4 linked regions of the Elephas maximus indicus genome follow. The protein of the gene in region 3 binds, or shares a complex with, the protein of the main gene of each other region. Links are inferred from orthologs where the notes say so. Each region holds a gene or a part of one and is shown on either strand. Other genes may lie near its edges.

The links.
Region 1: the proteins of TUBB4B (region 3) and PACRG are in contact, whole or in part, in a cryo-EM structure (PDB 7UNG), measured with the Homo sapiens proteins. The link is inferred for Elephas maximus indicus from reciprocal best matches to the Homo sapiens genes TUBB4B and PACRG. Residues at the interface, in NP_006079.1 of Homo sapiens: Glu194, Phe260, Pro261, Arg262, Gln291, Phe294, Asp295, Ala296, Arg306, His307, Gly308, Arg309, Tyr310, Val333, Lys336, Asn337, Ser339, Tyr340, Phe341, Gln375, Ser413, Asn414, Asp417, Ser420, Gln423, Gln424, Tyr425, Gln426, Asp427, Glu432; in NP_689623.2 of Homo sapiens: Glu40, Gly41, Phe42, Thr43, Val44, Ala46, Met47, Met48, Val53, Arg54, Gly55, Pro56, Pro57, Ala58, Ala59, Gly60, Ala61, Phe62, Arg65, Lys154, Arg160, Arg162, Arg191, Gln192, Pro195, Asn198, Ile199, Phe200, Asn202, Met203.
Region 2: the proteins of TUBB4B (region 3) and CFAP107 are in contact, whole or in part, in a cryo-EM structure (PDB 9CPB), measured with the Bos taurus proteins. The link is inferred for Elephas maximus indicus from reciprocal best matches to the Homo sapiens genes TUBB4B and CFAP107. Residues at the interface, in NP_001029835.1 of Bos taurus: Lys19, Glu22, Asp26, Tyr36, Asp39, Ser40, Asp41, Leu42, Gln43, Leu44, Glu45, Glu53, Gly56, Gly57, Tyr59, Pro80, Leu215, Leu217, Thr219, Thr221, Tyr222, Gly223, Asp224, His227, Leu228, Ala231, Gly244, Gln245, Phe270, Pro272; in NP_001033296.1 of Bos taurus: Thr74, Val75, Glu76, Gly77, Leu78, Tyr80, Lys81, Leu83, Ile84, Thr85, His86, His87, Gln88, Glu89, Gln92, Arg93, Tyr94, Leu95, Ile96, Ser97, Thr98, Asp101, His102, Pro133, Pro138, Thr139, Asn140, Tyr141, Leu143, Tyr144.
Region 4: the proteins of TUBB4B (region 3) and EFHB are in contact, whole or in part, in a cryo-EM structure (PDB 7UNG), measured with the Homo sapiens proteins. The link is inferred for Elephas maximus indicus from reciprocal best matches to the Homo sapiens genes TUBB4B and EFHB. Residues at the interface, in NP_006079.1 of Homo sapiens: Asp26, Glu27, Asp31, Pro32, Thr33, His37, Gly38, Asp39, Ser40, Leu42, Gln43, Thr55, Gly56, Gly57, Lys58, Ser78, Gly79, Pro80, Phe81, Gln83, Leu215, Lys216, Leu217, Thr219, Thr221, Asp224, His227, Pro243, Gln245, Phe270; in NP_653316.3 of Homo sapiens: Tyr523, Gly524, Val525, Gly526, Leu528, Ile529, His530, Asn531, Arg532, Tyr537, Arg539, Asp542, Arg545, Ala546, Ala549, Ala550, Arg552, His553, Lys556, Tyr608, Asn624, Phe625, Trp628, Asp630, Lys631, Thr686, Leu687, Leu688, Ser691, Asp692.

The regions. Positions count from the first base shown.
Region 1 is NC_064819.1:234,900,627-234,908,190, forward strand, and holds the start of PACRG (parkin coregulated gene protein), read left to right. Parts: upstream 1-4,556; 5' UTR 4,557-4,816; coding exon 4,817-4,972; intron 4,973-7,564. Other genes in the region: PRKN (E3 ubiquitin-protein ligase parkin), read right to left, coding at 4,129-4,135. UniProt on the Homo sapiens protein: Microtubule inner protein (MIP) part of the dynein-decorated doublet microtubules (DMTs) in cilia axoneme, which is required for motile cilia beating. Suppresses cell death induced by accumulation of unfolded Pael receptor (Pael-R, a substrate of Parkin).
Region 2 is NC_064821.1:52,599,528-52,606,540, reverse strand, and holds the start of CFAP107 (cilia- and flagella-associated protein 107), read right to left. Parts: upstream 3,010-7,013; 5' UTR 2,818-3,009; coding exon 2,707-2,817; intron 1,503-2,706; coding exon 1,389-1,502; intron 1-1,388. UniProt on the Homo sapiens protein: Microtubule inner protein (MIP) part of the dynein-decorated doublet microtubules (DMTs) in cilia axoneme, which is required for motile cilia beating.
Region 3 is NC_064827.1:987,671-994,927, forward strand, and holds TUBB4B (tubulin beta-4B chain), read right to left. Parts: upstream 2,974-7,257; 5' UTR 2,892-2,973; coding exon 2,835-2,891; intron 2,559-2,834; coding exon 2,450-2,558; intron 2,313-2,449; coding exon 2,202-2,312; intron 1,724-2,201; coding exon 663-1,723; 3' UTR 520-662; downstream 1-519. Other genes in the region: protein FAM166A, read left to right, coding at 56-173, 431-519. UniProt on the Homo sapiens protein: Tubulin is the major constituent of microtubules, a cylinder consisting of laterally associated linear protofilaments composed of alpha- and beta-tubulin heterodimers.
Region 4 is NC_064845.1:19,818,785-19,826,419, reverse strand, and holds the start of EFHB (EF-hand domain-containing family member B), read right to left. Parts: upstream 3,015-7,635; 5' UTR 2,998-3,014; coding exon 2,065-2,997; intron 1-2,064. UniProt on the Homo sapiens protein: Microtubule inner protein (MIP) part of the dynein-decorated doublet microtubules (DMTs) in cilia axoneme, which is required for motile cilia beating.

The sequences.
Region 1 (7,564 bases), on a different chromosome or scaffold from region 3:
CGATCCCTGGCCTTGTTGTGACTATAACATTGAGGTTCTCCATCATCTCTTTCCAGAGATGTAGTCAACTGATTCCTGTGTATTCCATCTGGTGAGGTCCATGTGTATCTGATTCTGTTGGCTCTGACTCACAGTGACATTACAGGACAAGGTAGAACTGCCCCCATAGTTTCCAAAGCTGTAATCTTTATGGGGGCAGACTGCCACATCTTTCTCCCATGGAGTGGCTGGTGGGTTTGTACCACCAACCTTTCTGTTAGCAGCCGAATGCTTAACTACTGTGCTACAGAGTTGCTTCTCCGTGTGTATAGGTGTCATTTACATTGTTAAGAAAAAGTATTTCCAATGAAGAAAGCATTGGTCTTGCAAAATTCTATCATGCAATCTCCAGTGTCATTTTTATCACCAACTCCATATTTTTCAACTACTGATCCTTCTTTGTTTCCATCTTTCACATTCCCATCACCAGTAATTATCAATGCATCTTGACTGCACGTTTAATCAACTTCAGACTGCAAAAGTTGGTAAAAATCTTTCATTTCTTCATCTTTGGCATTAGTGGTTGGTGGGTAAATTTCAATAATGGTTGTATTAACTGGTCTTCCTTGCAGGCATACAGATATCATCCTATCGCTGACAGTGTTTTACTTCAGGACAGATCTTGAAATGTTCTTTCTGAAAACGAAGGTGACACCATTCCTCCTCAATTTGTCATTCCTGGCATAACAGACCATATGACTGCCCAATTCAAAATGGCCAGTACCAGTCCATTTCAGCTCACTAAAGCCTAGAATATTAATCTTTATGCATTTCATTTCATTTTTGATGACTTTCAATTTTCCTTAATTTATACTTCATACATTCCATGTTCTGATTACTCATGGATATTTAAAGGTATTTCTTCTCATTTTGAATCCTACCACATCAGCAAATGAAGGTCCTGAAAGCTTAATTCCATTCACGCCATTAAGGTCGACTCTACTTTGAGAGGGGCCCTGGTAGCTCAATGGTTAAGAGCTATGGCTGCTAACCAAAAGGTCGGCAGCTGGAATCTACCAGCTGCTCCTTGGAAACCCTGCAGGGCCGTTCTACTCTGTCCTATAGAGTCGCTGTAAGTCGGAATTCACTGGACTGCAAGGGTTTTTTTTTTTTTTTCCTCTTCTTCTTTGAGGAGGCAGCTCTTCCCTAGTTGCGTTTTGAGTGCCTTCCAACCTCAGGGGCTCAACTTCTAGCACTATATCAGACAATGTTCTGCTGCTATCCATAGGCTTTCACTATGTTTGTTTGTTTCCAGAAGCCGATCGCCAGGTCCTTCCTCCTGTCTGTCTAGTCTGGAAGCTCCACTGAAATCTGTCCACCATGAGTGACACTGCTGGTATCTGAAATACCGGTGGCACAGCTTCCAGCATCACAGCAACACACAATCTACTACAGTACAACAAACTGACGTTTGTGTTGTAATACACACTTACTTACTCTACATAAAGCAATAGCTGAAGTATGAGAAAAAATGCCTTTTAAAATCCACCCTATATTCTCCATATCATTGTCAAAGATAATACTTCTTTTATTCATAATTTCCAAATAAAAACTAAATACAACTGGCTAAATAACTTTCATCCTAATAAAGTTATTTGCATAATCATGCATTAGATATTAATTTAGAATTAAGCAAAGACTTTTAGATCTCAAGTTCCTGTCTTTTTATGATTTTACAATACGTTTGCTATTCTTAATAATATCCTTGTACTGAAGCAGAATTTTAAAAATTTGCATAATTGTCTTCAAAATAAAGCATAGGCTATTATTCTTTTCCTGTAAAATAATGATACAAATTCTGAGAAAACACCTTTTGCTTGGTTTTCTGATTCAGTTCAGATTTGTGTTTTCAAGTAATTCTTGTGCAAATGCCACCTAAAAAGACTCAATAAGATTCATAACAATGTATCAATTTTTCTTAATTTGATAATTTTTAACAGTCATTCACTAAAATCCATTCCACGCTAGAGTATAAGATGGAAAGCACACCAAGGTTTCACCATTGCTGCAAAAGAAAAAAAAATTTGCAAAGCCAAGGCTAATTAACCACTGTGACTCTCCTAGAGACGAGACCAATGCTTTGCATTTTAACATTCTTTCCATAAATAAAGCAGACTTGGGAAATGCTGTGGGGTAACTACACCTGTAAACCAAACCCACTGTCATCGAGTCGATTCTAACGATAGTGACCCCATAGGACAGAGTAGAACTGCTTCATAGTTTCCAAGGAGTGCCCGTTGGATTGAAACTGCCTACCTTTTGGCGAGCAGCTGTAGCTCTTAACCACTACACCACCAGTGGTGTCCCCAGGTGGTGCAAATAGTTAAGCTCTTGACTAGCAGTAGAAAGGTTGGCAGTTTGAACTGACCCAGGGGTGCCTTGGAAGACAAGCTTCGTAATCTCCTTCCAAAAGGTCACATCCTCTGCACACGTAGGGTTTCCATGAGTTGGAATCAACTAGAGGGCAACTAACAACAGGAAATGCCCATTGCTGTCAAGTCATAGGGATTCTATAGGACAGAGTAGAACTGCCCCATAGGGTTTCCAAGGAGGGGCTGTTATATTCCAATCGCCCATCTTTTGGTTAACAGACGATCTCTTAACCACAGAGCCACCAGGGCTTCACAGACAACCTATGTGTTCCTCCCAAAATCTATGCTGGAATCCTAACCCCTGGACCTGTGGATGTGGTCCCTCTTGGAAATAAGATTTTCTTTGTCATGTTAATAGAGCCATATCAGTGTAGGGTGTGTCCTAAACCTAATTATTTCTGAGTTATAAGAAGAGCAGTAGAGACATGGAAGGAAGCAGAAACAGGGTGAAGACAGATGCCATGTGAAGATTGCCAAGGAACCAAGGAATGCCTCCAAAAACCAGAGGGAAGGCATCCACAAGGTGGAAAACCTAATTTGGAATTTTAGCCTTCAGAACTGTGAGAAAATTAAATTTCTGTTCTTTAAAGCCATCCACTTGTGGCATTTCTGTTACAGTGGTACTAGGAAACTAGGACACAAACTTAAGGTATTTTATCAATCCACCACTCATCTTTCTGAACAGACCACATCCGAACTAATATTTACTTGTTACAATCAAAAACGTGTTTTGTGGTATCCCTCAGAAATAAGCCTAATCTCACACCATACTCCTAATACATAAACTGGAGCAAGTCTTTGTCATACCGAGCCCCTCAAATAGTTGTTTTCTAATCCTACTGTGCATTTCCACAGATTTTCAGGGGTAGCCTCTAAAATAACTTGGCCCTTGTCTCTTAACCCTGGAAGAGAGGACCCTTGCTAATCTAAAACATCACAGTATTTACAAACAACTCTAACATCCACTTCCAAAGCTTCATTCACAAGGCATCTCAGTCATTTTGTGTTTTATATATATATATATTGCAGTTAATGCATTATGCAAATGGCAGAATATTCAAACCTTGCTATTACACTGCTAATTATTCTTTTATCTCAGACTCTCAGGGAGAGGTTTAGAAGAAAATGTCAAGGAAGCAAGTATAAATTCACATAAAGGAATGTTTTGAGCCCAACCATCAGTACCATGTGTTTTTCATTAGAGTTTGATTGTCTCCACGATTCCCCTTAAAGACTTCTACTGAAGGGGTTCCACCGTGTCCTAGGCTGAAAGACAGCCAGCCAAGCTCACCAGAGCAAGGTGAGGGAGGACACCTGGGCGGGGAACGGCGGCGCTCCAGTGACCCCACACGGGTCTTGCAGGGGCGTTTGCAAGGCTCTGGGCGTCGGGGACCCATGTGGCACCAGGAGGAGGGGCGGTCATCTCGGAGGGAGGTGGCAGGCACTAGTGCCCCCTGGCTAGTGTTCCTGACTAGCTCTCTTCGGTGGGAGCCTGCTAAACCAGGCAGGAGGGCGAGGGACCACAGAACACACACTTAGTTTCTGGTCCCCCAACGAGAGTCGCAGGTCCAGGCCGTGTCCCCGGACACAGGAGCCCAGGCAGCGTGGGCACTTGTCTCCTGTCACTGACAGGTGTCACGGCGGGTACCCCCGGGTCCCCTCGGCCCAGGCACGGCATGGCGGCGCACAGACGCTGTACCTGGCAGGCACCACGTACCTATCATGGTCACTGGGCGGGCGGCGGCCGCTCGGCAACAGGGCTCCAGCGCCCGTCGCCCGCCGCCTCCCAAGGCCGCTCTTCCCGGCTGTTGCTCAGATCTCCCCACCCACGCTCTGTTCCCCCGGGACGACCGAATGCGCAAGCGCAGAAGACTACGGCCCGAAGCCTGCCGGGAGTCGTAGTTCCGAATTGCAGTCACGCCGTCGCCCCCCAATCACCTCCTCTCACTGCAACTCTAGCCGGCTCCAGGCACAAAGACGCATGAGCAAAGGAAACGCGTCCCGTGGCCTGCCGGGAGTCGTAGTCCTGACCGGCAGCTACGCCTTCGCCCCGCCTGCCTCCCTGCGGCGACCCTTTCCGGCTTCAAAGCCCAGGCAGCGCACGTCACGACAGGGCGAGGCCGTTCGGCCGCAATGTTGACGCGTCGCTTAGCAACCGCGGGCTTACCTTTGGAAGCTTGTTGCAGCTCTAGCCAAGGTCCTGCGCTCCTCCCGCCCCTCCCCTCCCCCAAACCCTGTTCACCTAGGAGCTGCCAAACATCTGGATCGACCTGGGCACTACGAGGGGTGGAATTTCTATCAGTATTGCGCCTTTTGACATTTTTTCCCGACCTTCTTACATCCGTAGGCCCCACTGATTCTTAATACACTTTTTTTTTTATGAGAACAAGACTTTTCCTAGGAAGATGGTGGCAGAAAAAGAGACCCTGAGCTTAAACAAATGCCCAGACAAGATACCGAAGAGGACCAAGCTGCTGGCCCAACAGCCGCTCCCGTTGCACCAGCCGCATTCCCTGGTTTCCGAGGGCTTCACAGTCAAAGCCATGATGAAAAACTCGGTCGTAAGTGATCTTCCGATTGAATGCTCTCCTCCAAAGCAGGGTACACGAGGTTGTGCAGGCTGGCCCTGTAATGGACCCTGAGCCGTGTCCTGGGTGGTCTTTGCCAAACTGGCAATTATTTGGCCAGTGGGAGACTGTACCCAAGAGTGTGGATGTCAAGTTAGGTTGGTTAGAGAGGATCCTGGGCAAGTGGTGTACCGTCCCGTTTATAAGCACCTTCCTATGCACTCACAGTTTCTAGAGCACCCAGAATTACTCTTAAGCTGTTTATGCGAACAAAAAAGATCCCCTTTATTTATTGGCTACCGAACTAGCTCTACAGGGCAAAGGGCCTTATAGGAGGTGAGTTGTTAGAAATCACAAACTTTTGCAAAATTTAACACGTGCTGATGTACAGCTGAGAACATAAGCTCATTAAATCATCTGTAATGAGAAATTTCATCCACGTAGGTAATTTTGGAATATCTTAGGTTTACTCCAGCAACACCGTTTCTCACAAAATGATATCAGCCTGTTAGAGTACTCAGAGTACCGAATATGAAGTCTATTTCCTGGTAACAATAAGCGATGCTTTTAAAATAATCCAATCTTCAGTTCAAGAATCTCTGACCATTAACCAAAACCGAGCCCGTTACCGTCGAGTCAGACTCGTAATACCCTATAGGACAGCAAAGAACGGCCCCGTAGGGTTTCCAACACTGTGATCTTTTTGGAAGCTGACTGCCACATCTTTCTCTCACACAGTGGCTGGTGGGCTCGAACCACCAACCTTTCAGTTACCAGCCAAACAACCACTGCACCATCAGGGCTCCTTCTGCCTATTAGTACAATTCGTATTTCATTTCCATTTGTGGTAACAAAAATATTCTTAACACTATTAGAAAATAAATTTTTTTTTAATGCACACAAATCCTTTGGCTATATACATGGTAATTTAGTTTAAAAAAAGAAAAAAAGAAAATCTTCCTATTTGTTAAATAGCTTTAAATGTGGTATGCTAAACCAGATTTTACTACTGAGTAAGCACCTGTCTGGGAATGAGGCATTAATAATAAATGTAGCTTTCAAATTTGTATAGTTTACACCCTGGGAGGATCTGATTTATTATGTGTAACTCATTGTGTTAAATGAATAGTGTTGCTTTCCAGTGTGGGTCACATTGTTTGTTTTACTTAAATGTTGCAAATGTGATACCTTATTCCTAAACCACGTCCTTAAATACGTGAAAGAAACAGATTACCTCCAGTCTCCATGTCTGATCCCCACGTTGCTACACAGAGTGGTGTTCTGGTTGTTCGTACTTGTGTGAATTGATTTACAATAGTTGAAATTCTGGGAAATACACTAATAATCCTGCATGTTGTTACTGCAGTCTTTTCATTGTATTTCTTGTGAACTGTTTCTCAGGGTAGCCGGGATGACTCATTTATCAGCCATTCAGAATCCCATAACCATACAAGTGAATCATTTATCTTTTCTTCTATACAGTATTTATAATGATCATTTTGAAGATTTTTTTCCAGTGTTACATTTTAACATCACAGATGTCTAGGAAAAAAAAAAAAAAAAGAGCTCAGATTCTCTTGTTTTTTAAACTGGTGTTCACAAATTCATATATTGTGTGTATTCTTAAACAGCCTTACACCAAAAGTCTCTGTTCTGGAAAACCGAATGTTTTGTCACTAGAAAAAAAAAAAAAAATCCATTGCCATCAAGTCAATTACAACTCATGGCAACCCTGTACGTTACAGAGTAGAACTGCTCCGTAGGGTTTTCTTGGCTGCAGTCTTTACAGAAGAAGATTGCCAGGCACTTCTGCACCTCCGCTGGGTGGATTCAAACTGCCAATCTTTAGGTTAGCAGCTGATTGCACACCGCTTGCACTGCCCAGCAAATATGTTGACAAAACTCAAAGACATCGATTATGAAGTAGCTTTCTTTATAAACAACTAATTTGAGATAAATTATCTTCTTTGCATATTTTTAAAGAAAACTTTTAGTGCACTATCTATGTCTCCACTGGGATCCCAGAATGGAATGGTTCATTTTTTTCACTCCATTTAGCAGAAATCGTAATTCTTAGAAATAAACATTATTCAGTCAGTCTGGGATCAGCAAGTGAACAAAACAAAGTCCCTGTCCCTAGGAAAACCACCACTACCACTTTATCAACAATAAAGTCTTGATAAAACTAGACAGTGCTCTTCATACAAACTAACTTCAGTGGTAAAAGAAAGGAAGTATTTCACCGTTTACCTTTAGCAGCATAGGACTTTTGGCATTTATAAAGTTAAAATATCCCTACATCTTCCTTAAGGTGTATTTCTATTTAGACAACATAATATGCCAATCTCCAGCTTTTCTTAATCGAAACCCCATATTGCGAAAACCAAACCTTCTAACCATTTTTCAGCATTAAGGATTGCATTCAATTCTGTTTTTCAAATGCTGGCTAGTTAGATGAGCTGCCATTCCAGTGCTCCCCACAAAAGATACATAGAGCTGCACCCTCGGGAGTCGTATGACGATTCCTGATATTCTTGTGAGAGTGCCGTAATGATAAGTATAAAAATTTGATCATTGACAAACTTG
Region 2 (7,013 bases), on a different chromosome or scaffold from region 3:
TGCTGAAGTCAGTTCTCTGTAAGACCCCTCCCCTAATACCAAGTCAATTCACCCCTAGAATGAACTATGGTGACACATTGAAATTAAAGTCAGGGCTTCCAGCTGAATGGGAAGGGGGTCAATGCCACCAAGCCGCCCACCCTTGTGATCTGAAATGATGCCCTTTGATTTGTTTCAAGTCTCATTCCAGCCAAGTGCAGATTTCCAAGGGGAGAGAAAGATGTTGAATACCAGGCCTGACATTTGCACTTTATATTTCAGTCCGTTACTATGGGAAGAATCAGAGAGCACGTCATAAATTGTCTTCACTCACAAAGGATTTATGGGTCCCTCAGCTGGAAACTGGGAGAAGGATTGCTTTGTTGAGGGGGGAGTTATTTACAGGGAGAAGAAAGCCAGGTTCTGCTTTGCTCTGGGACATTCGCCTGAATCAGTGATTTTCTTAAGAAAATCCTTTGGCCATGGAAGGGCGTCCTGGGGAACCAGGCTGATTTACAGGGGAGGCTAATGTTGATTTGCATGCCAGTCCTCTTGTCTGGAGCAGACAGGGAGGGCTGTGTCTGCTACAGTTGGGAAATACTGGCTGGATCCAATATTTCACGTGATGCTTCCATAAATAAGTCAGGTCACAATGCCCGAGGGAGACAGGGGGATGGGCACAGACAATGAAGCAGGGGTTCCCAAGATGTACATCACCAGGTGCCCCTCAGTATCTTCCCAGTGCCAGAGAAAGTGACTTGGAGGGTTTCCCATCAAGAAAGAGCAGTGCTGAGAAGGCACAGTGGCCCAGCCTAGGGCTTGGTGGGGTGAGGAGAGAGGCCAACAGGGACTTTCTAGCCCCTTCTCTTGGTTTCAGGTGCCACAGTGGTGGTTCAGTAGTAGAATTCTCACTTTCCATGAGACACAAAACCTGGGTTCCATTCCCAGCCAATGCACCTCATATACAGCTACCACCTGTCTGTCAGTGGAAGCTTGCATGTTGCTGTGATGCTGGACATGTTTCAGCAGAGCTTCCAGACTAAGACAGACTAGGAAGAAAAGCTTGGTGATCTACTTCTGAAAATTGGCCAGTAAAAACCCTATGGATCACAATAGTCTGATCTGCAGCCCATCACGGAGATGGCACATAACCGGGCAGCATTCATTCCATTGTGCATGGGGTTGCCATGAGTCGGGGGCAACTCGACCACAGCTAACAACACCAACTCAGATCATCTACTCGCACGGATAATGAAGAGTTAATGCCACTGTCAGCCTCTGTGCTGGGGGATGATACGAGTGAGACAAGTCTTGTTTTCCTAAGAGCAGTCTGGGCCTACAAGAAGTAGGTTCCATGTTCCCTGGGCTATGTGGGGCCATCGGAACCAAGGGCTGCCACTCCCTCTTACCTCCACTCTCCTCTTTCCGTACCACCTGGAGATCTGGTCAGGCCTATGGTCTGGAAAGGGGATGTACTCTTTTCTGTAAATGCACTGGGGTGTTTTCTCAATGGCTCTGGTGAACTGGAAAAGACCAAACATTCTGGAGAACCCTGTGATGCCCTTTCTCAGACATCTGCTTGGCCCCTCACCTCTCAGGCCCCTGGAAGATTGGTAGAGAAAGAGTAAATATGGGCCCCAGGCATCCTGCACAATGCAGGCAGGCTGAATTCTGCCTCCCATGGGCTGGGACCACCCTCCAGGACCTCTCAGAAGAGCCATGATTGGCGCTACTTGACCACTTCTTACTGTTGGCATCTGTTTCCTTCCTCATCTTCTCTCTCCTGCTTGCCTCCGGCCTTCCTCTCCTGCTTTGTTCCTTGCACTCTTTAAGCCATCCCTTTTGGTAGCTTTTTTTTTTTTGGTAGAAGACCAGCTCGTAATATCCCTGGGGACTGACTAACCCACAGGAGCCACAGGGGACTGCTCAGACAACTTTTTCCTTTGTCCTTCTTGCCTTTAGAACTTCCCTTACACAACCTGTCCACCAACAGGTGCAATTAGGGAGAACAATAACCATAGGCCATATCAGGCCAGAGGAGAGGTCAGTGCTAATGTTCCCATGACAGCAGCCTCTTTGGGTTCTCAGAGGTCACCACCAACATTCCCCAAGCCTGTGCTCTCGCACCCTCTTTTCCTTGCCCATTTCCTAGGAACTCGGGAGGTTACCCAGGTGTCTGCATACATGGTTCAGTCTTGTTGGCCACAAATGCAGATGTTCAGCTTGAAGTAGGCCAGGTCAGACAGGGTATTTTCCAATGGCCTTTAAAGCACAAAGGAATGCAGCCTATTTGTTCCACTGGGAAAATAAAAATTGAAATACATGGGAAGGCAGGGTTGTGGACCATGTGCCAGAGAGCAGCAGCACCACCCTGGACATCAAGGCAGGGAAGTGCCAAGCCTGCCTTGGCAGGTGCCGCATTCTGGAAGGACCAGGCCAGGAGAATGGACATTCTTCAAATCAAGGTGCAGAAGAATTGGGGACAGTCCTGAGAGGCATGGCTTCCTTGATGTCACAGCTATGGTATTTTTGAGACAGAATGGGGACAAGCGTGATGACTTGAACATGATCCCCTAAGTCGAGCACAGAGACCCTGATGCCACATTTGTATGATGGATGCACAGCCATCTGTAGCTCTGGATTTGGACACAGTGATGACCCTCTCCCTCTGCCTCTCCCTGCCAGTCCCCCCTCTGCACCCTCTACCCCCCTCCTCTCTCTTCTTACCTTCCTTCTCTCTTCCACCCAGTTCCCAGTGAGCACGCGGGTGGAATACTTGGGCTCGATACACCAGCTGGGAGTGGAGTACGACTGTGGGCTCAACGCCCTCACGAACATGGCAAGGCTTCACCCTTACTTCCTTTGACTTGGTGCACTTTCAGGTTTCTAGAGGGGTATGATGAAGTGGCCAAGTTTGGGATGCCCTTTCCTCAGCCGCCCTCTCGAGTGAGTAGAAGACACCCTGCTAATTTTGTGGACAAAAGGGTGCTGAGAAGTCCACTTTGGGCCTCCAGGGAGAGGTGCTGTGGTCTTGGATACCCTACTGTTGACTGTCTCCATGGTGACAGACTCTGGGTAAAAATACTCTCCTTGAGGGAACAGCTGATTCTGCACGAGAAAAACTGACCCCATGAAAACAAATCAAACCAACCACCACCACCACGAAATCAGGGGCCACAGGGGTCTGGTATTCCTGCTGTCACCCTAGGAGGGCCATCATCCTTGCTGCATTTTTACAATTAGGGTCAGTTGAAATGACCCCGTTCTACTACTACTTACTGAGTACTGATGTCTAGGCCTACGCTAAGATATTTGCAAGTATTCACTGGTTGAGTCCTCACAGTGGGGCAGGGCTCTTATTTTACCCATTTTACAGATGAGGCCGCTAAAGCAAAGAGAGATTACATGGCTGCCTAAAGCCCCACAGCTACCACAAGGAAAAGCTGGAATGCAATTTCAGTCTGATTCAGGGCTAAACTAGTGGGCCCCATTGCCTGTCTGCACTTTGTCTAAGGGGCTTCCACTAAGAATCCTCCACGCATAGTTCATTGGTCAGTGCGTCTTCACTTATTTATTCCACAAACATTTTACTGAGCACATTGTAAGCACTGAGCTGGAGGCTGCAGTCCATCAGTGACTAAGACTTGGGCCTCACCCTCCCGGAGCATGCGGCCCATCTTCTCGCTTACTGATTAAGCAAAGAGTCAGGAGCCACCTAAATATCCACCAACAGAGGACTGATTCAATAAATTGTGTACATCCATAAAATGAAATATTCTGCAGCTGTTAAAAAAAAAAAAAAAATCCTGACTTAGAAGGATGTCTCTACCACATAGTTAAGTTAAAGAAGCAGGAATATGTGTGCTGTGTAGTCTTGCTTGCCACAAATGAAGACATTCATTTTTAAGTAGGCCAATTCAGAAAAAGTATTTTCCAAAAGCCTTTAAGAAAAACTAGAGGAACTCCAGGAATCTATTTGTTCTATCTTGAAAGTAAACTTGCAGCAGAGAGAGGCCATGGGATGTGGGATAGAAAACAATGCAAACCTCTAATGATCCGGGACCACAATCTGGGCAGGCTGGAGCCAAGAAGAAGAAATACTCTTTCAGTCAAGGCAGAGGGAGCCATGTGTACTAAATTATTTCACTTTTAAAATATTCTCTTGTAAAAGGTAACACAAACATGAAAAAGTGCATTAAAAATATTCAGTGGAGGTGGAGCCAAGATGGCGGAATAGACAGACGCTTCCATCAAGCCCTTTTTACAACAAAGACCCGAAAAAACAAGTGAAACAAGTATATTTGTGACAAGCTGGGATACCTGAGCATCAAAGGCAAGCTTAGACAACGAATTGAGGGGCAGGGGAAGACCGGTCAGAAGCTGAGAGGAGTTACCGGACCTGAATCGCAGGGAGCCCTCAGGCACCATTCCTGGAGGAGTGGCACTGGCGGCAGCGGGGGCGGGCTGGTCCTAGCTTTCGGCCCCAGTTTTCTCAGGGAGAAGCAGCAGCCACATAGCCCACTCACACCTCCAGAACCTGAGGAGAAGGGCACTCTCAGCAAAAGCTAAGTACTTGCGTATATTTTGCCGCGCCCCCACCCCACCCCCAAGCCGGCTTCAGCAGCTGAATCCCTGGGCCTGAGACAGACCCTGGTGAGCTCCTAGAGCCAACCTCCCGGCCTTGGGGAAGGAAAAAATTTCCAACTGGGGGGAAAAGATAACTTGCTAGCTCCATTAACTGGGGGAGCTCAGGACAGAACCGGCTCCTGTCCAGGCATAAACCGTCCGAGAACCTTGAGCACCTTTCCCTTCTGCATGGACCTGTGTGGGTCTATTTCCGGAGAATAGGCCCTTGTTGGCAAACTCCAATCATTTCAGCAGTGCAGTGGAGAGGTGGGTGTTTGACATTTGACATTGCTTTGCCTATTAAACAAGGTCCTCACCTACCCACAACAGGGACCTAAGGACTGGTGGCTCCACTTGGGTTGCCCAGCCACCCACGACAGGGGCCCAGGGATAACTGGTACCTCCCAGTCCTTACAACAAAATCTTTGGGTGCCCATGGTCCCTCTGCAGAGCCCACCCACCAGTATGCTCTAGGGAACAGAAATGCATTTTCCTCAGAGACACGTGGAGGTCGGTTCTCAGCCCCCTGCCTTATTCAGAGCATGACCCCCTGCTGCACTCAGATATGGGTATATACGCCAATCACCCCTGCCCCTCTAAGACTGTACGACAGAGCCTGTACCACACACTTGACAGCAGCTACCTGGAAACCTGAGCTGAATTCATACAAGAAAATCAAATGGACTCCTAGACTGATATACCTGATAACAGCTCTAGCCAGCTGGGGACAGGACACCAGAGCTCCAAAGGTGAAAATAATCAAGCTAGCTCACTCAAGCAACCCATAGGGGTATACCAAAACAAAACAAAGCAAGCAGCTACGACACAGTAAGCAAGCATAAACTAATACAATAACTTATAGATGGCTTGGAGACAACAGTCAATATCAAGTCACATAAAGAAACAGGCCATGATTACCTCAACAGGATCTCAAAATAAAGAATCCAGGGATCTTTTAGATGAAAGTGCATTCCTGGAATTACCAGATACAGAATACAGAAGTTTAATGTACAGAGCCCTTCAAGACATCAGGAAGGAAATGAGGCAATACGCAGAACAAGCCAAGGAACACACAGATAAAGCAACTGAAGAACTCAGAAAGATTATTCAGGAACATAATGAAAAGCTTAATAAGCTGGAAAAATCCATATACAGACAGCAATCAGAAATTCAGAAGATTAACAATAAAATTACAGAATTAGATAACTCAATAAAAGTCAGAGGAACAGATTGAGCAAGTAGAAGCTAGAATTTCTGAACTCGAAGATAAATCACTTGGCATTAATATATCTGAAGAAAAATTAGACAAAAGAATTTAAAAAAATGAAGAAACCTTAAGAATCATGTGGGATTCTATCAAGGGAAATAACCTCGGAGTGATTGGAGTACCAGAACAGGGAGGGATAACAGAAAATACAGAGAAAATTGTTGAGGATTTGTTGGCAGAAAACTTCCCTGATATTGTGAAAGATGAGAAGATATCTATCCAAGATGCTCATCGAACTCCACATAAGGTAGATCTTAAAAGAAAGTCACCAAGACATATTATAATCAAGCTTGCCAAACCAAAGATAAGGAGACAATTATAAGAGCAGCGAGGGATAAAAGAAAAGTCACCTACAAGGGAGAGCCAATAAGAATAAGCTCGGAGTACTCGGCAGAAACCATGCAGGCAAGAAGGCAATGGGATGATATATTTTAAAAATTGAAGGAAAAAAATTGCCTGCCAAGAATCATATATCCATCAAAACTGTCTCTTAAATATGAAGGTGAAATTAAGACATTTCCAGATAAACACAAGTTGAGGGAATTCGTAAAAACCAAACCAAAACTACAAGAAATACTAAAGGGAGTTCTTTGGTTAGAAAATCGATAATATCAGATATCGCCCCAAGACTAGAACATTGGGCAGAGCAACCAGAAGTCAACCCAGACAGGGAAATCCGAAAAAAAAAAATACAAAGCGAGATTAAAAAAAAAAAAAAAAGCCCAACACAGGGTAACGGCAATGTTATTATATAAAAGAAGACAACATTAAAATAATAAAGAGGGACTAAGAAATGTAATCACACACCTTCCATATGGAGAGGAAGATATGGCGATACAAAGAAATAAAACACAATAAAAATTATTAAAAAAAAGAGCAGACTAGGCAGAGAGAAAGAAGCACAAACAGGAAGATACAAGCCACATGAAGATCTGCCGAGGAACCGAGGAGCAGAAGCTGAGGAGAGACAGTGATCTTCCCTCAGAGTTGACAGAGGGAGAGTCTTCCCCTGGAGCCGCTGCCCTAAATTCCAACTTCTAGCCTCCTAAACTGTGAGAAAATAAATTTCTGTTAGTTAAAGCCAAAAAAAAAAAAAAAAAGTACAAGGTACAAATGGCCAATAAACACATGGAAAATGTTG
Region 3 (7,257 bases):
CTTGCTGGTGTGGGGCTGGGGGCTGCAGAGCATCAGGGTCTGCCTCTACACTCAGTTCCTGTCTAGGAACCCCATCTGTGCCCTGGGCCAGAGGCTGCCCAAAACACACTGGCCCAGCAACACCATCTACAGCAGCCAAGGCCTGATTCCCTTCTACATGGGGTTTATACCATGTGAGTACACGGGGCGGGGTGTCAGGATGTGGGACGTGGCCATCAGCTCAGGCAGTTGCACCTAGGGAGGGGGCGGTTGACTGGGCACACCCACCATCATCCCTCCCCCAGCGTGGACTAGACTTGAACAGTGGAGTCTGGGACCAAGGTCTGCCTCACACCGGGGTCTGGTCCTCCTTGAGGAAGCAGACTTCTTCACCAGCCAGTGGAGTCTGGCCAGGTGACCAGGGCTCAGCTGCACCTGTCCCCCTACCCAGCCACTCAAGACAGCTATGCGCTCACATTTGGCAACAGCACCCGGAAGGCCTATCAGAAGGAAACAGAGAGGCGGGGCCGCACACTATGAAAACGCTTTAATGGAGATGTCTGTACAGCATGTAAGGAGAGACAGAAGGACAGCAAGTGAGACAGTGAAACATGGTATCAGAACAGGTTGTGAATGAATAAAGAGTTCACACCGCTTCCACGCTTCCCCACTAGCAGAGCGCCCTAGGCCACTTCCTCCTCGGCCTCCTCCTCAAACTCGCCCTCCTCCTCAGCTGTGGCATCCTGGTACTGCTGGTACTCGGACACCAGGTCGTTCATGTTGCTCTCAGCCTCAGTGAACTCCATCTCGTCCATGCCCTCGCCTGTGTACCAGTGCAGGAAGGCCTTGCGCCGGAACATGGCCGTGAACTGCTCGGAGATGCGCTTGAACAGCTCCTGGATGGCCGTGCTGTTACCAATGAAGGTGGCAGACATCTTGAGGCCGCGGGGCGGGATGTCGCAGACAGCCGTCTTCACGTTGTTGGGGATCCACTCCACGAAGTAGCTGCTGTTCTTGTTTTGCACGTTCAGCATCTGCTCGTCCACCTCCTTCATGGACATGCGGCCCCGGAAGACGGCGGCCACCGTTAGGTAGCGGCCGTGGCGGGGGTCACAAGCGGCCATCATGTTCTTGGCATCAAACATCTGCTGGGTGAGCTCGGGCACGGTCAGGGCCCGGTACTGCTGGCTGCCCCGGCTGGTCAGCGGGGCGAAGCCGGGCATGAAAAAGTGTAGGCGGGGGAAGGGCACCATGTTGACGGCCAGCTTCCGCAGGTCAGCATTGAGCTGGCCTGGGAAACGCAGGCAGGTGGTGACCCCACTCATGGTAGCTGACACCAGGTGGTTCAGATCACCGTAGGTGGGCGTGGTCAGCTTTAGGGTTCTGAAGCAGATGTCGTAGAGAGCTTCGTTATCAATGCAATAGGTCTCGTCTGTATTCTCCACCAGCTGGTGCACCGAGAGGGTGGCGTTGTAGGGCTCCACCACCGTGTCTGACACCTTGGGCGAGGGCACCACACTGAAGGTGTTCATAATCCTGTCAGGGTATTCCTCCCGGATCTTGCTGATGAGGAGGGTGCCCATCCCAGACCCAGTCCCCCCACCCAGGGAGTGGGTCAGCTGGAAACCCTGCAGGCAGTCACAGCTCTCGGCCTCCTTCCTCACAACGTCCAGCACCGAGTCGACCAGCTCTGCACCTTCTGTGTAGTGCCCTTTGGCCCAGTTGTTCCCAGCACCACTCTGACCTGCAAGGGAGAACAGCTGCTGGTCATTCTCAGCCAGGCACTCCCACCACAGATCATCTGCGTCCATGCCAAAAGAGCCAGATAATGTGGTGTGAGGTGGCACACAAAGTTCGTCCTGTGGGCAGAGCAGACAAGCCCCCAAAACCATGAGACTACAGTCTGCCCAGTTAGGAGTTAAATTAGAGGCCAAAGTTGAGACAGCCTAACAATAAACCAGCCCCTCCCACGGCAGCCCTGCCAATTCCCAAGGACAAGTCTAGCTCCAGAGAGATTACACCTGCGCGTTCCTTCCCTACAGACAGCTGAGCCTTTCTCCCAAAGCCGATTTATGAGAAGGGATTGAGTGACTCCAGGGGAAGCGTGTCCAGGGGCCTAGTTTTTGCCCTGGGGAGGGTGGATTCTGACAGTGACCTTTGGGCCTGCCCATGGATGGCCGTCCTGGCTTTCCAGCCACCCACACAAGCCCCACCCTGCTCACCAAAGACGAAGTTGTCGGGGCGGAAGATCTGCCCGAAGGGCCCTGAGCGCACAGAGTCCATGGTGCCCGGCTCCAGGTCCACCAGCACGGCGCGGGGCACGTACTTGCCACCTGGGGGGGGGCGGGAAGGGCGTCGGCGGGGGCGGGGGGCGGGGGAGCGGGGGGGCGCCGGGGGGCCGCGGGGGGGGCCGGGGGCCGCGGGGGGGGCCTGGGGGCGCCGGGGGGCCGCGGGGGACCTGGGGGCTCACCGGTGGCCTCGTTGTAATACACGTTGATCCGCTCCAGCTGCAGGTCGCTGTCGCCGTGGTAGGTGCCGGTGGGGTCGATGCCATGCTCGTCGCTGATCACCTCCCAGAACTGCGAGGCGGCGGGCGGGCGCGGGGCTGAGTCACGCCCGGCCGGTGCGCAGGGAGGCGGCCCTGCCCCCGCCCGGCTCCTCCGCCGCCCCGCCCCGCACCTGCCGACCCCCGCAGGGCGGGCGCCGAGGGCCGCAGTCCGGGGCCGCAGTCCGGGGCCGCAATGCGGGGGCGCCGCCCGCCCGCCGCCGCCGCCGCCGCCGCCATCTTCCCGGCCGCCCGCCCGCCCGCCCGCCCGCCCGCCCGCCCGGCGCCCCCCCCGCGGCCCCCCGCCTACCTTGGCGCCGATCTGGTTTCCGCACTGCCCGGCCTGCAGGTGCACGATCTCCCTCATGGCGGCGGCGGCGGCGCGGGCAGCAGGTCCAAACCGGGAATGGAAGAGCGGGCACACGGACTGCTACAACCGACGCTGCGCGAACCCTTATATATACGCGGCGCCCGCCCCCGCCGGCGTCGTATTGGGCTTCCAGAACGAGGCTGGCAAGTGACCTCGATTGATTGGCTGCTACCCCGACCATCGAGCCGCCTAAGGCCCGCCTTCCCACGGCGGAGCGCTCTTTATTGGTCAGCCGCTTCCTGCGCTCTCCCTATCCAAGTCCTCCCCCATCGCGCCGCAGTGCTCTGCCCATTGGGTGTTTCAAATGATTGATTTGTGCTTTCATTGGCTGTCGCCGGGGTGCACGGCGACGGGCTGGTGCTATTGGCCAAACGGGGCTAGCGTCCTGGTAACCGCCGCAATGCAGCGGGCGCCGCGCGCGGAAGGGCGGGCGCGTGCTGCGGGCGCGCGCACTCCGGTCGGGGCGCCGGTTTCCGGCCCGGCGGCGGGCTCCAGGGCCCGACCCGGGCGGCACGGTTGCGGGCAGGCCCGGGGCGGAGGCTGAGGAGGGTCCGGGCCCGGGGAACGCAGGAAGGGCGGCGCCTCGAGTCCGGACCGGGCCGGTGGGGCCCTCGCGCGAGCGCCGGAGCGCGTCACTGCAGCCCCGCGTGCGGCGTCGTGGAGAGCCCGCCGCGCTGGCCTCGGGGGCGAGTCGGACCGCCCCTGGGCCCGGCATGGGCGCCTTCTCGAGGGTGGCTCCTTCGGTTCGGTCGTCACGGAACCGGCATGAGTGGGCCAGTTGTCCGCGCTGTGCCGGAGCCCTGGGGGTGGGCGCGGCTGGGTTCGGGGAGGCGAGCGCGCCGGGCCCGGGCCACCCTGGAGAGGTCTTGGCGCGGGCGAGCCCCGGAGGTCCGCAAGCAGGAAGGGGCGTGTTGTCATTGACGCTAAAAAATAAACAAGCTGCAGGCGCCAAAGGGGCGGTGGCGCTGGGACAGGAGTGCTGGCGGAGGAGGGGACCTGTCTCTCCTGCGCCCCGACAGTGGAGACCAAGGGGGATGTGGCGAGAGGCTTCCTGTCCTGCCCGCTCCTCACGCCCCGCGACCCTCACAGCCTTGTGAGGTGCGCGCCCGGGCCCCAGTCCGGCCCCTGCCCGGACGGCCGCCTTTGAAGGCGCAGCGCCCTTGGGTGCGGAGTGGCCGAGGTCTGGCGCAGGGCCGCCTCCTCCTCCTCCCCCGCAGTTGCTCCCGGGGAGCGAGTCGGACGCGCGGATCCTGCCAAGGCCCGGGGCCCTACCCCTGGCAGCCGCGCGCGGGCTGTTTGTAGAGACGCTGGCCCGGCGCCCGTCGCCTTGGTGTCTGTGCCCAGAGCGCACCGGGCTGCCTGGAGACCAGGGCGGCGTCAGGGCGCGGGACCTCCCTCGGTGAGCATGGGATCGTCACGGCTCCACGGCTCAGCCGCAACCAGGGCTCGGCGCGCCTGACCTGAGAAGAGCTTTTATTTCTCTCTGATTTATATGGGGGGCGGGGGCGGGGACTTATAAAGGAATACTAGTTAAATTACATGTGATTGCACCTTTAATCATTTTCTTTTGAACTACGCATTTGCATTATATGTTTGTAAAATTTTAAAAACAAGATATACAGTCAGGACTGCCCTGAACAGCCTCTCTTGCCGTGGCCAGGTGGGGGGTCAGGGGTTCTCTGGATTCTGGTTTTCTTGAACTTCTCACCCCCTCAGCTTCCTGACTCAGGGTGTCCTGGGCAATACCTGCTGCTCTATTTCTCTCTTCGGGGGGGAGGCGGGGGTGAGGGGGGAATGCTAACCCTTCTTCAGGCTTAATTAAACACATTCTTGGGTGGTTTCAAAGACAGAAACAGCTTATCTTTGGGTCAAAATCTCCAGGACAAGCAGCAGCCCAGCCTAGAGGCCAGCCAGCGTTTATGCCCATTGAGAGGAGTCTGCAGCTTCGCTCACCCTGGATCTACTGTCCTGGCCTGGGGGCGAGTTGGTCTATCAATGTGCTGAACAGTCCTCGCAGGGCTGGGGGACCACTCCTTCCCCACTCGCCACCTGGGAAGGCAGGTCTGGCTTCTGTTAATCACCCATCGCAGGCAGGATCTCTTGGTGCGTAGGAAGTGTCGCCCCAGTCCTAGGGTCCTCATGGTGCCCATTGCTTCCCCTCGATTTGGTTGCCAAGTGGTTAGGTGTCCAAGCAGTAGGCAAAACACGAGTTGTCACAAATTCAGGGGGAAGAAGGGGGGCGGGGAGAATTCTGATTTCTTCACTCAGCCTGCTGGGGCTGCTCTTGAAGGTACTTGGACCCCTCATTCCTGCCTGTTTTCAAAGATGTCTCTGCCCCTTAGGCTGTGCACTGGAAAAAGCCACTGGTAACTGTGACAGGTTCTCCTGGGGCTATGAGGTCTGCATGTCACCCCCGTTTTGCAGGTGATACACAGAGGCTGTGGGAGTGAACCCCAGCGCCCTCGGTGGACCAGGTGTCCTCTCCCCGACAGTGCCCGGGTATGGTCAATGCTGGCTGGGACAGGAGGCTGGGGGCCTGCGGCTGCCACACAGAGCTGGTGGCGAAAAGCTCCAAAGTTCCCCACCCGGAGCCCTCCGTGGGGCCCCAGTCTGGAGAGATGAGCAGTGTGGGCAGGAGGGCAGCTGCTAGGACCTGGGCCAGGTAGGGGTCTGTGGTTGGTGGAACACAGAGCAGCAATGGCCGGAAGCAGGGAAGCCCAGGCAGAAGAAGCCCTGGATCTGGTGTCCAGGCTGTGGGAGTGCTGGCCAGCCCCACCCACTGTGCCTACAGCTGTTGGAGGAGTCCTCAAGGACAGCTCTGTTTACCAGTGGCCATGGTCCCAGCGGGAGGGTTTGTTATCTCCGGCCTCAAAGGACCCGGCGGTCAGCCTTTGTAGGCAGCCTCACTGGCTCCGGAAGGAGGGGTATGAGGAGCACTTTCCTCCTCCTGCCCATGAGGGCCTCATTGCCTCCCCAAGGCCCCCCCATCACCCTCCCCAGGGCACTGGCCAGGCCTAGCCCCTCCCGAGGAGATAGCAGAGAATACCATAAGGCCAGTGGGTGGGACCAAAACTGGGGAGCAGAGCTGGCCATGGGGCCCTGGTTCTTGCTGGAGTTCACCTGTGAGGGACCCACAATTCCCAGAGCAATGTCACCTTGGGTTAGCCAGGTGATCCCCAGTCTCCAGAGGCTCTCACAAGGGGTGCTGTAGGAGCCTGGGGGACACTGGGGGGCTGAGGGGACTAGGGGAAATGGGGGAGCTGAGGGGACAGAGAGAGCCTGGGAGACACTGGGGGTAACTGGGGGAGACTCGGAGAACTTGAGGGGATCCAAGGTGGGATAAAAGGACAAGACTTCAGCAAGAAATGTAGTCTCCTTGGCCAGCTCCCCTTGTCCTCCATTTGGCAAACCTGGGCTCCCAGGATGGGTGGGAGGGTGTAGGAGGAGAGGTGGGTCTCCTGGATCAGGGGAGGCTTCGGGCCACAGCATAGGGCTCTAGAAGTGTGCCAGACAGTCAGGCCCTGAGGGAGGGTCAGGCTGCCCAATTGTCCATGCACATGCCCTGGCTAAAGGACTGGGTTCTGGAATGACGGACATAATTCACTTGAAGCTTCCCTCCTTGGGGGAACCCTGCGGTCGGCTGGGGTGTGGGCAGCCCTGGGCGGGAGGCAGTAGCCAGCACTCCCCTGGTGTCTGCTTACAAGATGGCCGAGGACAAGCCTTCCTGTGTGAAACCGGATCCCAGGGAGTAGGGTGCTGGGCCTGTACTCCCCACAGGCCCACCTGCTCTGAGGGCATGTCCTGGGCAGGCATATCCCCAGGTGCAGGGTCTCAGAAGGTACTGCGGACCTGGAGAGGGGTTTGCAAGGCCAGTGGTTCAAGACATGAGGTCTAGGTACAGTGACCCCATCTGCAGGACTGACTTCCTGGTAGGTGTCAGCCAAGCCGAGTGGCGCCCCCTGGTGTCTCAGGCAGGTGCGGGGGGGGGGCGGTGCCTGGGAAACCCTAGCCCAGGGGTCTCCCACCCACTGCCCACCTTTGGCAGCCCCCACAGTCTAGGATAGGTTCCTGGAGCCCCACCCAGAAAAAGGGTACTAGAGAGAGAACCAAACTGGGGGGGATGCCTTAGGGACAACCCCATCCTTACGACCCTCTCCAGTACTCTCCTTGCTTCCCCCCACCCTGCACCTAGCGGGACCTAAGCTCTCAGTCTCTGAGGTCCTGCAAGCTGACCACCATGAGTGGGGCCAGGAAGGCAAGGGGGCTTCTTTGCCCTGGCCACGGTCCTGCAGGAGCCCCAGGGGTGGAGGGGCTAGGAGGCCGCGGAGGGTAGGAGCAGGTCTCCCATCTCACCTCCCGCACA
Region 4 (7,635 bases), on a different chromosome or scaffold from region 3:
TTCTTCCCTCATTAAGATCCACCGACTGACTCTGTATCCATGTGCTTTACCCCTGCATTTGGAAGCTTTAGATTTCTTCCATGTATTTCCTCTCTACCTTTATCTCTCAATACCATACTAGTTACACAGAATTGCTTATGTCTCCCAAACACAAGCAGCTTTGGTCACGCTCTATGCCTTTCTGTGCCCAAGATACTCTAATCTCATTTTTCCATCTAACAGTGATACCTTTTAACATTAGCTCAAATATTACTTTCTCCGTAAAGCCTTGCCCATCTCCTCCAAGCGGTATTATTCAGTCTTTCTACTGAGTTCTATGTTGTGTGTGCACTTGTATGAAGAAAGAATCACATTTGTTTTATATCCATTTAGGCATCTATATAATATCTACTTAGTTGTCTGTCTCCATCACTGGAGTGAAAACCTAAACCTAGAGGGTAGAGATCATGTGCTATTTATTTTATATTGCCCTTTTTTTTTTCTACTTAGCACCATTGCTGATGTGAGATGGATGCTGGCTGAAAGCAGAGAATACCAGAAACATGTTTATCTGTGTTTTATTGACTATGTAGAGGCAGTTGACTGTGTGGATCATAACAAATAATGGATAACATTATAAAGAACGGGAATTCCAGAACGCTTAATTGTGCTCTTCCCGAATCTGTACACAGACCAAGAGGCCGTCATTCAAACAGAGCAAGGGGATGCTGCATGGTTTAAAGTCAAGAAAGGTGTGCATCAGGGTTGTCACCTTTCACCATACTTATCCAGTCTGTATGCTGGGCAAATAATCCAAGAAGCTGGACTATATGAACAAGAATGGGGCATCAGGATTGGAGGAAAACTAATTAACAACCAGCGATATGCAGATGACACAACCTTGACTGCTAAAAGTGAAGAGGACTTAAAGCACTTACTGATCCAGATCAAAGAACACAGCCTTCAGTATGGATTGCACCTCAACATAAAGAAAACAAAAATCCTCGTAACTAGACCAATAAGCAACATCATGATAAACAGAGAAAATACCGTAGTTGTCAAGAATTTCATTCTACTTGGAACCATAATCAACTTCTACGGAAGCAGAAGTCAAGAAATCAAATGACACATTGCATGGGCAAATCTGCTGCAAAAGACTTTTTCAAGTGTTAAAAAGCAAAGATATCACGTTAAGGTCTAAGGCATGCCTGATCCAAGCCACAGTGTTTTCAATTGTCTGATATGCATGCAAAAGCTGGACAATGAATAAAGAAGACCAAAGAGGAACTGATGCCTTTGAATTATGGCATTGACGAAGAACACTGAATATACCGTGGACTGCCAGAAGAATGAACAAATCTGTCTTGGAAGAAATACAGTCAGAATGCTCCTTAAAAGCAAGGATGGCAAGACTTTGTTTCACATGCTTTGGACGTGATATCCGGAGGGATCAGTCCATGAAGAAGGACATCATGCTTAGAGAAGTAGGGGGTCAGCGAAAAAGAGGAAGACCCTCAGCAAGATGGACTGACACAGTGGCTGCAACAACGGGCTCAAGCATAATAACAATAGTGAGGATGACACAGGACCAGGCAGTGTTTCCGTCTGTTGTACACAGGTTCACCATGAGTCGGAACTGACTCAACGGCACCTAACAACATTCCTAGCACAATGACCGCCACAAATCTTTATTGAAGGAACTAATAACTCTCAGAATAAATAATGAATAGAAAAAAAAATTTTTTCCCCATTCATTATAGGAATGTTACGACACAACATGAATCTTGGTGAAAGGGTTGAGAAAATTAAGATTGAGGAAGGAAATGATGGTCAAAGGAGAAAGGAAGAAGAAATCAGGAAGAACTACTGGTGTAAACAGCAAACAATGTAGACATTTAGAAAGGCAGTCAGAAAATTAGAGGAGATCAATATGTGGAATGAGTCCAATGGGGCAACAGATATCAGAACCCAATGGAATCTTCGCAATTTCACTCCACAAGCTCAAACAGGTCTAATAACTTTATCATCACAATAAATACCTAACAACACATAGTTCCCAAAGAAAATACTGGAAAAAATACTTACACTTGGCCAGTGAGGCGTTCGATCAAAAAATTTTCCAGAGTATATGGGTCTGATGCAATGTGGAGGTTCCACCCCTAGTTCAGTGTTCTCAACCTCCTCCTTTTTCTCTTCAGGTTGCTGGGCAAACTGGCATACAGGGGGTTCTATCACTAAGCCCATCTGGGGCTCTGGCTCCTCTGGTTGGGGTAGCCCAGTGTCCACATCCACTGGACGCATCATCTCTGCACTGGGCTTCATCAAAACACAGGCAGAGTCTTTCTCCAGTTCCTGTCTAGGTTCAATACCCAAAGCAGGCTGCTTTCCCACTGACGCCTCTGTCCCTTCAAGGGCACTAGCCACAGGCCCTCTCCTGCTCTCTAGAACCTGTGGACTTCCGCACTCCATATGCAAGGGAGGCTGTATTATCCTTCCATGGGGACATCCTGCCAGAAGACACTTATTTTCTAACCCCATTCTTCCTGGCAACATTCCCAGAGAAGGTTTTGTTTCCTGAGAGACTGAGACCTTGTTCACTCCTAAATGATCCCACTTCGTGGGGATTTTCAACTCTAGCCCAGAAATATTCTGTTTTTCTAATCCTATTTCAAGGCCCTTGCTCAGTGGAGATTTTGTTTCTTGCGGCTCCATCCTCTTCTCATACTTAGTATTAACCATGGGGCTCTCTCCCCATCGGGATTCTTCTTTTCCTAACCCTACTCCAAGCCCCAACTCCGTGGGATATTGTGTTCCCATGAGAACCCTCCTGTTTCCTAAATCATCCTTGCCTGGGTGGGTGAGCCCGACCTCCGCGCTCAGAGATGTCCCGCCAGGCACCTTCATTCCACCAAAGGGGCTCATCTCTAGTGGGAAAGCTGCGCCTGGCTCAAGGGAAGTTCTCATTTCCCTGGGGGACTTCATTCCCTTAGGGGACCCCACTCTCACAAAAGAGCACATCCCCACTCGGACTCCCTGCCCACTGTTTCTGCCCACCACTTAACATCTAGCTGAGTTCACAGGGAAAAGTAGACGGAGGACTGTTTACCCAGTTACCTAGGAAACAGGGGCGGGGCTTGGCGCGCAATTCTTGCTCCTGCTGGTCCCCACTCTGCAACTCTTTACCTCTCCGCTTGCTTTTTTCCCCGTTTTTTTTTTTTTTTTTGTGTGTGTGTGTGTGTGTGTGTGTGTGTGTGTGCTCGTGCGCCGACTATGGATTTGCTTCTCTGGGTGTAGGATGAGATTGAGTGGAACAATCTTCACCGGGTGTGTGGGGCGGCTTCTATCCTTTCAGAGGCAGAAATGGGCTAATTTGGCAAGAACACTTGAATAATATGGCCTTGGGCAAGAGACCAAATGCTCACCAACTTCTCACTGATTTCCTAAGCAACGCAATCCCTTAGGATGGTTTCAGCCACGAGCTTTTTCCTGGTCACTGACCTCCTGGTTTTGTGGTTCATCAGGGAATAAATAACTTTTTTTCTGGTGGTGACCACTTTTAGGACTTCCCTAGTGCAAGCACACCCTCAGTACATGTAGTTCTTCTAGCACTAAAGAACTACTTTAAATTCTGGAAAGTTATAACTTGGCAGCTGTGCTACAGAAACCTATTAAAGTCCTTAACAACACTTAAACTTTAAAAAAAAAAAAAACTTTAATAGCTAGGCTTTAAAAAGTAAAGATATTAAACTGTGAGATAACTGTTACACAATAATACATAGTTTGCTTTTTTTTTTTAAATACTCTGACAAACTCAAAACTTGTTTTTAAGAATAGGATTTTTTTTTTTTTTTTTAAGTTGGAGTTACTTTGTCAAATTTTAGTGAAAGTGTATTTGGATAGTTACGTCTCATGGTCTACACGCATAGGGGATATACAACACCTATTAGGGAATTTGAATGTAATTTACAAGATTCTACACTCTTTATGGAAACCCTGGTGCCATAGTGGTGAAAAGCTACGGCTATGAACCAAAAGGTCGACAGTTCCAAACCACCAGGCGCTCCTTGGAAACCCCGTGGCAGTTCTACTCTGTGCTACAAGGTCGCTATGAGTCGGAAACAACTCGATGGCAATGGAAATGGACAGTATTTACAAAAAACTATGAAAACTTTGTTAAATCCAGAGGGACTAGAGAATACTATTTCACATTTTTTTTAAATAGTTAAAATAGAATTTACTAGGTAGTTAATATAAATATCCTTCTTCCTCTAAGTGCTTTAAATGACTTGTTGTTAGGTGCTGTCAAGTTGGTTCCGACTCATAGCGACCCAATGCACAAAGGAATGAAACACTGCCCGGCCCTGCGCCATCTTCACAAACATTGTTATGCTTGAGCCCATTGTTGCAGCCCCTGTATCAATCCATCTCTTTTTTCACTAACCCTATACCAAGCATGATGTCCTTCTCCAGAGACTGGTCTCCCTGATAACAAGTCCATGAGACAAAGTCTTGCCATCCTCGCTTCTAAGGCACATTCTGGCCGTACTTCTTCCAAGACAGATTTGTTCATTCTTCTGGCAGTCCATGGTATATTAAACACTCTTCGCCAACACCGTAATTCAAGGGTATCAATTCTTCTTTGATCTTCCTTATTCACTGTCCAACTTTCTTTAAATACCACGGCTTGGGTCAGGCACACCATAGTCCTTCAAGCCTCATCATTGCTTTTCAACACTTGAAAGAGGTCTCTTGTAACAGATTTGCCCAATGCAATACGTCATTTGATTTCCCGACTGCTACTTCATGGGAGTTGATTGTGGATCCAAGTAAAATGAAATCCTTGACAACTTCAATCTTTTCTCCGTTTATCATGATGTGGCTTACTGGTCCAGTTGTGAGGATTTTTATTTTCTTTATGATGAGGTGCAATCCATACTAAAGACTGTAGTCTTTGATTTTCATCAGTAAGTGCTTCAAATTCTCTTCACTTTCAGCAAGCAAAGTTGTGTCATCTGCGTACTGCAGGTTGTTAATGAGTCTTTCACCAATCCTGATGCAGCATTCTTCTACATACAATTCAGGTTCTCAGGTTATTTGCTCAGCATACAGATTGAATAAGTATGGCAAAAGGATACAACACTGACGCACACCTTTCCTGACTTTAAGCCACGCAGCATTCCCTAGCTCTCTTTGAACAACTGCCTCTTGGTCTATGTATGGGTTCTGCGTGAGTACAATTAAACATTCTAGAATTCCCATTCTTCACAGTGTTATCCATAATTTGTTATGATCCATACAGTCGAATGCCTTTGCATAGTCAACAAAACACAGGTAAACAGCTTTCTGGTATTCTCTCCTTTCAGTCAAGATCCACCTGACACCAGCAATGACACCCTGCGTTCCATGCCCTCTTCAGAATCCGGCTTGAACTTCTGACAGTTCCCTGTCGATGTACTGTTGCGATTGCTTTTGAAAGATCTTCAGCAAAATTTTACTTCTGTGTGATATTATTCCCCGCCCCCCCATCTCCACCCTGCTGTTGAGTCGATTCTGACTCGTAGCAATTCCATAAGGTTTCCAAGGCTGTAAATCTCTACGAAAGCAGACTGCCACATCTTTCTCCTGCAGAGCTGCTGGTGGTTTCTAACCGTTGACTTGTCGGTTTGCAGAGATAATCACTTTAACCCCTGTGCCACCCAAGTTCCCTGGTGGCGCAGTCGTTAAGCTTTCAGCTGCTAACCAAAAGGTCAGTAGTTTGAATCCACCAGCTGCTCTTTGGAAACCCTATGGGACAGTTCTACTCTGTCCTATAGGGTCACTATGAGTTGTAATCGACTCGACAGCAACAGGTTTTTGTTTTTCTTGTGTGTGTGTGATATTAATGATATTGTTTGATAATTTCCGCCTTCTATTGGAGCACCTTTTTTTGTAATGGGCACAAATATGGATCTCTTCCAGTTAGTTGACCAGGAAGCTGTCTTCCAAATTTCTTGATACAAATGAGTGAGTACCTCCAGTGTTGCAACCATTTGTTGAAACATCTTACTTGGTAGTCTGTCAATTCCTGGACCGTTGTTTTTTTCTCATTCCCTTCAATGCAGCTTGGACTTCCTCCTTCAGTACCATCAGCTCTTGAGCATATGCTACCTCTGGAAATTTTCCCCACAGAATCCTTCATTATTGCAACTCCAAGCTCAAATTTTTTTCTTCAGTTCTTTCAGCTTAAAAAATGCCAAGCATGTTCTTCCTTTTTGGTTTTCTAACTCCAGGTCTTTGCAGATTTCACTATAATACTTTACTTCATCTTCTTGAGAAGTCCTTTGAAATCTTCTGTTCAGCTCTTTTACTTTATCATTTCTTCAGTTCGCTTTAAAAAAAAAAAGCTACTCAATATCCAACAGCAAGTTAGGAGTAACCTCCTGTTGTGCAATTATTCATTCAACCAATGTTTGTTGAAAACCTGCAACATGAAAGGAACTAATTTGGATCCAGGGAACATGAATACCTGGAACAGCTCCTCAGTGATTCAAGCAGTTTGCAAAGCAATTGTGTTTAAGAGTTCCACTGCTAACCAATAGGTCGGCAGCTCGAATCTACCAGGTGCTCCCTGGAAACCCTATGGGGCAGTTCTACTCTGTCCTATAGGGTCGCTATGAGTCAGAATTGACTCAACAGCAACATGTGTAACCCAAGGGTAAGGAGCCATGGTGGCACAATGATTAAGAGCTTGGCTGTTAATTGAATGGTTGATGGTTCAAACTCACCCATCACTCTGTGGGAGACAGATGTGGCACTCTGGTTTTGTAAAGATTCCAAAAACCAAACTCACTGTCACTCAGTCAATTCTAACTCATATCGACCCTACAGGGCAGAGTAGAACTGCCCCACAGGGTTTCTAAGACTGTAAATCTTTACAGAAGCAGACTGCCAAATCTTTCTCCCACAGAGTGGCTACTGGGTTCAAATCGCTGACCTTCTGGTTAGCAGCCAAGCGCTTTAACCACTGCACCACCAGGGTTCCTTCTGTAATGATTAAAAAAACAGCCTTGGAAATCTCATGGGGCAGTTCTATTCCATCCTATAGGGTGGCTATGAATCGGAATCTATTTGGCAGCAATGAGTTTGGGTTTGGGTATCATAGTGAAGATCCTCTTAAGCTCTGTGAGAAACTGAACTTTGTAATCCTAAGAAGACTGAAGGGCTGAGGAGAAAAGTCTAGGAACTTTCTGAGGCAGGATGTTAGAAGAACCATTATAGAGAGTAAAGCAAAGTACTGGGAAACCACAGAGGAAAGAAAACGATAATTAAATCTGGGAGAAGTATACATAGACGCTGTCTAGAAGTTGGCATCCCAACTGAGGTGAGCCTGGCAACGATGGGCCAGGTAATGGTGTTCAGGTGGAGAGAACAAAGTAAGATGCCAAGATGGGAACATGTAGGTATGACGCATCATGCTTTTCCGGTTAGCATGGAGGAGCATAGGGTGGTTAGGGGATGTAAGAAGGTGAGTTGGGACTAGAGCTAAAGAATTTTGGACTCTATTAAGCAATGAGATATCATTGAACATTTTTGAAGAGGAGAGTGGCTAAAGTGTGAAGAGTAGATTAAAAAGGCAAGCTGTTTCTGCCATCTAGTTGATTCTGACTCAGAGTGACT